2 linked regions of the Xenopus tropicalis genome follow. The protein of the gene in region 1 purifies or fractionates together with the protein of each later gene. This does not show direct contact. Links are inferred from orthologs where the notes say so. Each region holds a gene or a part of one and is shown in the gene's direction. Other genes may lie near its edges.

Region 1 (4,401 bases):
CTGCTGGCTACCAATGTACTAGGGGGGGCCTGCTGGCTACCAATGTACTAGGGGGGCCTGCTGGCTACCAATGTCTCATATCTGTGAGTCCCTTGTACCGGTGGGAGGGGGGGCCCAGAAGATGTTGTTGTGAGGGGCCAGTGATTCCTGATGGCCCTGGGGGGCCCTGCTGGCTACCAATGTACTAGGGCGGGCCCTGCTGGCTACCAATGTACTAGGGGGGCCCTGCTGGCTACCAATGTACTAGGGGGGGGCCTGCTGGCTACCAATGTACTAGGGGGGGCCCTGCTGGCTACCAATGTACTAGGGCGGGCCCTGCTGGCTACCAATGTACTAGGGCGGGCCCTGCTGGCTACCAATGTACTAGGGCGGGCCCTGCTGGCTACCAATGTACTAGGGGGGGCCCTGCTGGCTACCAATGTACTAGGGGGGCCCTGCTGGCTACCAATGTACTAGGGGGGGCACTGCTGGCTACCAATGTACTAGGGGGGCCCTGCTGGCTACCAATGTACTAGGGGGGGCCCTGCTGGCTACCAATGTCTCATATCTGTGAGTCCCTTGTACCGGTGGGAGGGGGGGCCCAGAAGATGTTGTTGTGAGGGGCCAGTGATTCCTGATGGCCCTGGGGGGCCCTGCTGGCTACCAATGTACTAGGGCGGGCCCTGCTGGCTACCAATGTACTAGGGGGGCCCTGCTGGCTACCAATGTACTAGGGGGGGGCCTGCTGGCTACCAATGTACTAGGGGGGGCCTGCTGGCTACCAATGTACTAGGGGGGGCCCTGCTGGCTACCAATGTACTAGGGCGGGCCCTGCTGGCTACCAATGTACTAGGGCGGGCCCTGCTGGCTACCAATGTACTAGGGCGGGCCCTGCTGGCTACCAATGTACTAGGGGGGCCCTGCTGGCTACCAATGTACTAGGGGGGGCACTGCTGGCTACCAATGTACTAGGGGGGCCCTGCTGGCTACCAATGTACTAGGGGGGGCCCTGCTGGCTACCAATGTACTAGGGGGGGCCCTGCTGGCTACCAATGTACTAGGGGGGGCCCTGCTGGCTACCAATGTATTGGGGGGGCCCTGCTGGCTACCAATGTACTAGGGGGGGCACTGCTGGCTACCAATGTACTAGGGCGGGCCCTGCTGGCTACCAATGTCTCATATCCGTGAGTCCCTTTGTACCGGTGGGAGGGGGGCCAGAAGATGTTGTTGTGAGGGGCCCATGATTCCTGATGGCGGCCCTGCACACACTATACCAGAGCCCAGCGGAACAAACTACAAGACGTTATTATACCATAGTGCTGCCCGGCGGTACCAGCTCTCTACCCCCTCACGTTACACGCCGCCTTTCCCGCCGCTCCTTCCTCACGTACAGCTCCTCCCTTTCTCTGACGTTTAGTTGATAGCCCCTCCCCCTCAGTGTCAGTTAGAGGGTCCCTTGTAGCACGATTGGTTGGAATGGCTGTCAGTCACAGCAGGTTCAGCGTGGTTTTTGTGAGGAAGCGTCACACCGCAGCCCCGCCCCCCTGCGCGTCACTAACACGGGCCGGATTGGCGCGGAATTTGTTTGTTGGGCTTCGCGCCTTTTCCTGACAGGATTGTGGGCTCCGGTCTCAGCGCTCTGTCCGCTTGTCTGTCTGTCCGCTTGTCTGTCTGTCCGCTTGTCTGCTCCCTCCCCCCGGCCCGGTGCGACCCATTCCCGTCTGAGCTGACCCGGTACCTGAGCCCCAGCGGCACCATGCATGTCATTAAGCGAGGTGAGTGCCCCAGGGTAATAACCCTTCTGTTCTGCCCCCCCGGCCCCTTCTGTTCTGCCCCCAGTCCTGCCCAGTCCCTGTGCCACACTCTATGCCAGTGCCCAGTTTTTCCCTTTCCTTCTGTCACTGTACTTACCCCCATACACTCTGCCTGTTTATTTACCCTCTTCTACTCTGTCCCCCTCCCCTTATATAGCCCCCCCTGCGCCCCCCTCCCCTTATATAGCCCCCCCCGCGTCCCCCTCCCCTTATATAGCCCCCCGCGTCCCCCTCCCCTTATATAGCCCCCCCGCGCCCCCCTCCCCTTATAATAGGCGCCCCCGCGTCCCCCCTCCCCTTATATAGCCCCCCCGCGTCCCCCTCCCCCTTATATAGCCCCCCCGGCGCCCCCCTCCCTTATATAGCCCCCCCGCGTCCCCCTCCCTTATATAGCCCCCCTGCGCCCCCCTCCCCTTATATAGCCCCCCCCGCGTCCCCCTCCCCTTATATATGCCCCCCGCGTCCCCCCTCCCCTTATATAGCCCCCCCCGCGCCCCCTCCCCTTATATAGGCGCCCCCGCGTCCCCCCTCCCCTTATATAGCCCCCCGCCGCGTCCCCCTCCCGCTTATATAGCCCCCCGCGCCCCCCCTCCCCTTATATAGCCCCCCCGCGTCCCCCTCCCCTTATATAGCCCCCCCCTGCGTCCCCTCCCCTTATATAGGCCCTCCCCGCGTCCCCCTCCCCTTATATAGCCCCCCTGCGCCCCCTCCCCTTATATAGCCCCCCCGCGTCCCCCTCCCCTTATATAGCCCCCGGCGCCCCCTCCCCTTTATCAGCCCCCCGCGTCCCCCTCCCTTATATAGCCCCCCGCGCCCCCTCCCCTTATATAGCCCCCCCGCGCCCCCCTCCCCTTATATAGCCCCCCCGCGTCCCCCCTCCCCCTTATATAGCCCCCCCGCGCCCCTCCCCTTATATAGCCCCCGCGCCCCCTCCCCTTATATAGCCCCCCGGCGCCCCCCTCCCCTTATATAGCCCCCCCGGCGCCCCCCTCCCCTTATATAGCCCCCCGCGCCCCCCTCCCCTTATATAGCCCCCCGCGTCCCCCTCCCCTTATATAGCCCCCCCCGCGTCCCCCTCCCCTTATATAGCCCCCCGCGTCCGCCCTCCCCTTATATAGCCCCCGCGTCCCCCTCCCCTTATATAGCCCCCCGCGTCCCCCTCCCTTATATAGCCCCCCGCGTCCCCCTCCCCTTATATAGCCCCCCCGCGTCCCCCCCAAGCCCCCGTCCCCCTCCCCTTATATAGCCCCCCCGCGTCCCCTCCCCTTATATAGCCCCCCCGCGTCCCCCTCCCCTTATATAGGCGCCCCCGCGTCCCCCTCCCCTTATATAGGCCCCCCGCGTCCCCTCCCCTTATATAGGCCCCCCGCGTCCCCCCTCCCCTTATATAGCCCCCCCGCGTTCCCCTCCCCTTATATAGGCCCCCCGCGCCCCCCTCCCCTTATATAGGCCCCCCGCGTCCCCCTCCCCTTATATAGGCGCCCCCGCGTCCCCCTCCCCTTATATAGGCGCCCCCGCGTCCCCCTCCCCTTATATAGGCGCCCCCGCGTCCCCCTCCCCTTATATAGGCGCCCCCGCGTCCCCCTCCCCTTATATAGGCGCCCCCGCGCCCCCCTCCCCTTATATAGGCGTCCCCCTCCCCTTATATAGGCGCCCCCGCGCCCCCCTCCCCTTATATAGGCGTCCCCCTCCCCTTATATAGGCCCCCCGCGCCCCCCTCCCCTTATATAGGCGCCCCCGCGTCCCCCTCCCCTTATATAGGCCCCCCGCGCCCCCCTCCCCTTATATAGGCCCCCCGCGCCCCCCTCCCCTTATATAGGCCCCCCGCGCCCCCCTCCCCTTATATAGGCGCCCCCACGCCCCCCGTCAGCTGATTCTTCTAAACTGGGCCCTGTGCCCTACCCTCCTCCTCACTGTGCCCCAGGTAGCCTTGCCCCCCCCCCCCCCCCCCATTCTCACTTGGTTCATTCTAGCCCCCCCCTTCCCTTTGTGCCATTCCATTCATCCAGCTCCCCATTTGCCCCCTGGGTGCCGGTATATCCGTACTGTGCCCCCACCCTCTCCCTCCCACACAGTCTCCAGTTTTTATTCTATTAGACATTTAGCTGCTTACAGGTTGCAGGGAGTGGCCGGTACATAAGGGAAACTATTACCCAATCAGTACTGAGCAGAATTCTGACTGTAGGGCATGTTACTGGGAGGGGTTGGGTGCTGCAGTATGGGGGGTATATGGGAAGGGTTGGGTGCTACAGGATGGGTGCTATATGGGTAGGGATGGGTGCTATATGGGTAGGGATGGGTGCTATATGGGAAGGGTTGGGTGCTACAGGATGGGTGCTATATGGGAAGGGTTGGGTGCTACAGGATGGGTGCTATACGGGAAGGGATGGGTGCTGCAGGGTCGGAGTTGTATAGGAGGGGTTGGGTGCTGCAGAATGGGGGTGCTATATTGGAGTGGTTGGGTGCTGCAGGATGGGGGGGGGGGGGGTACCGGGGAAGGATTGGGTGCTGCAGAAGGAGGTGGAGGGGTGAGTAGTGGAAAATGAAGTTATTGGGTAGTGAGGTGTAATTGCCTATAATTAACCAGAACTGTTTATACACTCTTAAC
Region 2 (3,810 bases), on another chromosome or scaffold:
TTGGTAGGTGTGGGTTAGGTGTGCTGGGTTTACTTGGATGGGTTGAACTTGATGGACACAGGTCTTTTTTCAACCCTATGTAACTATGTAACTATGTAACTATATTCTCTGTAGTGCTGAGCCCTCAGCAACATGAACGGGCAGATTTATCAAAGAGTTGAGAGCTTATTGCAGTGATCCCCAACCAGTGGCTCAGGGGCAACATGTTGCTCACCAACCCCTTGGATGTTGCTCTCAGTGCCCCCAAACCAGGTAGTTATTTTTGAATTCCTGACTTGGGGGCAAGTTTTGGTTGAATAAAAACAAGATTTCCTACCAAATAAAGCCCCTGTAAGCTGATAGTGTGCATAGAGGCCCCTAATAGCCAATCACAGCCCTTATTTGGCTCCTCCATGAACTTTTATGGTGCTTGTGTTGCTCCCCAAGTCTTTTGGCTTTGGCTCACGAGTAAGAAAGGTTGGGGACCCCTGGCTTATTGCAGAAAAACACACCCTTGTTCTCTTCATTCCAATGGGATTTTTAGCAGTGTATTCATCAAATGGTGAACTCTCACTTTCACCCATTGATTAAATACGCAGTCCCCAGACTGACAGTGAAAACAAAAAGAGCCTTCTCTGACTGGAATGTGAGCAGCTTATACCTTCTGGACATATATTTCACTCTTAGGGCCGTATATTCACCGGTGATGTTGCCCAGGGCAACCAATCAGCAATTAGATTTCAACAGTTAGAAATCCAAAGCAAAACATCTGATTGGCTGCTGTGAGCAAGGTCACTGGTAATGCTTCACTCCACTTTTTACACAGCATGATAAATATACACTTAATACTCTGTAAAACACGGAGAATGTCACTGTCTCAAAAACTAGAAAATAACATGTAAACTGCTAAAGTGTTTAGAAGAGCGCTCTGTGCAATTTAACATGGATTTGTTCCAAGGGCTTACATTTCCTTTTATTGAACTGCAGTGGCATTTATAGCCATTCAGTGTGACCACATTTACCAAGTTCACATCCCAATATTGCCATGTGGGAACCTAACAGCGAGTTTGTTGTGAGCTTTTCATTTTATAGAAGAATTAAGATGCCTAACTGCATAGCTTGAGTTACCCTGAAACGTAGGGATTTGCCACTAATACAGAAGCTTTTATTTATGGCTGCACCCCATTGATGACAGAACACATCTGGTGGGGTGCTAGGTCATGCTGCTAGAGTGGAAGTACGGGGATACGAAGGGCCAGTTGCTGAAATGGCTGAAATGGGGTAGTTAAGCCACTGAGAAAAAAGAAAAGATGATGAGCAGGGAGGTTTCTAAACAGAGCAGGAAGTAAATAGTGCAAAGAAAAATGCCATTGTTGCACAGCTCTCTCCAAGTCTCCTGAATGCAAAAATGTAGCTGTCAGCAGGAAGGGTGACATGTGGCAATTTTATAGAAGACTATATGAAAGAATCAGAGCTGGGCAGAGTAGTACTGGCACCTTGCCTCACCTACCCATCCGCGTTTGGGTTCTGTTTCCCCTTGCAGGTTGATCAGGTGGACGATTGCTTCAGAAAGCTGAGCCTGCTGCCCCCATTCTGTGCCCTGGGCACTTGCCTCTGATGCCTATCCCTAGTTCCACCCCTGGAAATAATAGGCTTTCATTTTATTTCTTCCTTTTTGTTGCAGAGAGTTTTTATTCAATGCCATAGAAACGATGCCCTGTGTAAGGAAAAAAGCGCAGTGGGCACTAAGGTGGATATCCGATCGGAAAGCTTCCTTTGGTAAGTTAGCTGTTTGGATTGGGAGCCTGCTTACAGGGAGAATGTGGAACTTATTGTAAATCTACTTGCTGACCCATAGGAATGCCCAGGCTTGGTGGCATAAAGAGGCCCCACGGATTGGAAAGCCAAGAGGTGATACAGATTGGGGGTAGTTAAAACAGGCAGTGGTGGTCACGGGGACCCAGGCAACAGGAGGGGTCTGCATCCTCTATAGTTGAAAAGCTTTACCCCCCCACACGAAAGTAGTAGAGCAGCTGGGGAGGGTAGACGCAGGCAGGATATGCTGGCGGGGGTTGGGTATCCGGGTATAGTTCGCTGTGCACCGGGCCCGTCTGAATAGGGGGTTATGCCACTGAAAACAGGGTTTGCTTTACATATGTACAGTAATTGTAGGAAAACCAGATTTGTGATACTGCATATTACATTTTATATAATTTGTGCCAAATTGTTATAGGTCCCCAGGTGTTTACTTAAGTTTGGAAAAGATGTTCTGCAGTTGGAGAATAGTCAGACGTACAGGCTGGGGGTCTCTGGTATATCACATGCGTCAAAGAACCAAAAGTTTTCAGGGGGAAACACAGCTATTTATGACTTCTATTAACATTTCTTCATTTCCCAGGAGAGAGAGTGGTGGCATTCGCTGCAGTAGAAGGAATATTCTTCTCTGGATCCTTTGCTGCTATTTTCTGGCTAAAGAAACGGGGACTCATGCCTGGACTCACCTTCTCCAATGAGCTGATCAGTAGAGATGAGGTAAGATCTCTCCTGAGAAGTATAATGAATAGGTGCCACAGGGATCAGGTGACCTTGGGGGTAGGGAACCTGAGATGGGGCTGACATGGGAGGTTCAACAACATCTCAAAGGCCCTAGCTTTGGCCTTGAGGGCCACGGTCAAGATCATTTTATGATTAAGTAATGCTTATCTTCAACCCGTTTGTACTTAGAATAATGAGTTTTATATGTACTTATGTAATTCTTCAACCACAATTTTTTTTCCTTTTGTGACTATTTCCAGGGTCTCCACACTGACTTTGCCTGCCTGATGTTCCATTACTTGGTTAAGAAGCCTACAGAAGAGCGAGTCACTGAGATTATTGTTAATGCAGTCAGAATTGAGCAGGTAAGCCATAAACTGGCCACCAATAAAATAGTTTCATACAATTTTTAGAGCGTATGTGGGCTCTGTGTGGGCTCCGAATCATCCCAATAATTTTCGTACCGTGGCAATAAGTCTTTTAGTCGAATGACTAGATTGGAAACTTTCGTCAGATAACGATAAAATCTGTGCACGTAAAATCTGTGCACGTGTATCTGACGATTGCCTTGGGGGACCTACAATGCATTTCCATGAAGTCACTTTCATACGATTCTGCCAACTATTTCATGTTCAGAACATGCTCCGATTTGTTATTTTGAGGGCTTTATCCTACAGTTTCAGTAATTTTTTAGTAAATGTTTAAACCTACGATTGATATCCAAACGTTCATCGCAAGAAGACTAAAATCTGAAGTGTATGGCCAGCTTTACATCTGTGGTCTGGAGTTTGTGATCTGTCCGTGGAACGTACTTATTGGCACCGTACAGATTGGCCCCTGGCATTGGCCTCATTGCCCACCATACAGTACAAAGCTGAAGTAAATAAGGCAGCTGCTTGGGCCCCTGATGGCTGGGATCTAGATGTTAGAAGGGCAGAGAGGGCAGGAAATAGATTGTCGTAGGTGTATCATTTGGATATTGGAATTTTTAGTTATGTTGGTTTGCAGCACCTAAAATTTCTAATATCCAAATGATACACCCAGAACAGTCTATACTCCCAGATCGGAAACAATGTCTATGTATGGTACATATTTTTATTTAATGCGCCCTCCCTGTTCCTTTTGTTCATAAGCAGGGCTAGCGGGGAGGTACCAACTGATCCTTGCAGGGTGTTACACATATTTTCTATATTTAACCCCACAGGAGTTCCTGACGGAAGCCTTGCCAGTGAGTCTCATCGGGATGAACTGTACCTTAATGAAGACTTACATTGAGTTTGTAGCTGATCGGCTGCT

What was found.
Region 2: the proteins of rrm1 (region 1) and rrm2b purify together in Homo sapiens (affinity purification with western blotting; 3 studies listed by BioGRID and IntAct, counting the BioPlex papers as one, with this or other methods). This does not show direct contact. The link is inferred for Xenopus tropicalis from reciprocal best matches to the Homo sapiens genes RRM1 and RRM2B.

The regions. Positions count from the first base shown.
Region 1 is NC_030678.2:178,116,268-178,120,668, reverse strand, and holds the start of rrm1 (ribonucleoside-diphosphate reductase large subunit), read left to right. Parts: upstream 1-1,547; 5' UTR 1,548-1,617; exon of another isoform or gene 1,618-1,649; 5' UTR 1,650-1,735; coding exon 1,736-1,754; intron 1,755-4,401. UniProt on the Homo sapiens protein: Provides the precursors necessary for DNA synthesis. Catalyzes the biosynthesis of deoxyribonucleotides from the corresponding ribonucleotides.
Region 2 is NC_030682.2:131,289,827-131,293,636, reverse strand, and holds part of rrm2b (ribonucleoside-diphosphate reductase subunit M2 B), read left to right. Parts: intron 1-1,663; coding exon 1,664-1,758; intron 1,759-2,377; coding exon 2,378-2,511; intron 2,512-2,774; coding exon 2,775-2,879; intron 2,880-3,718; coding exon 3,719-3,810.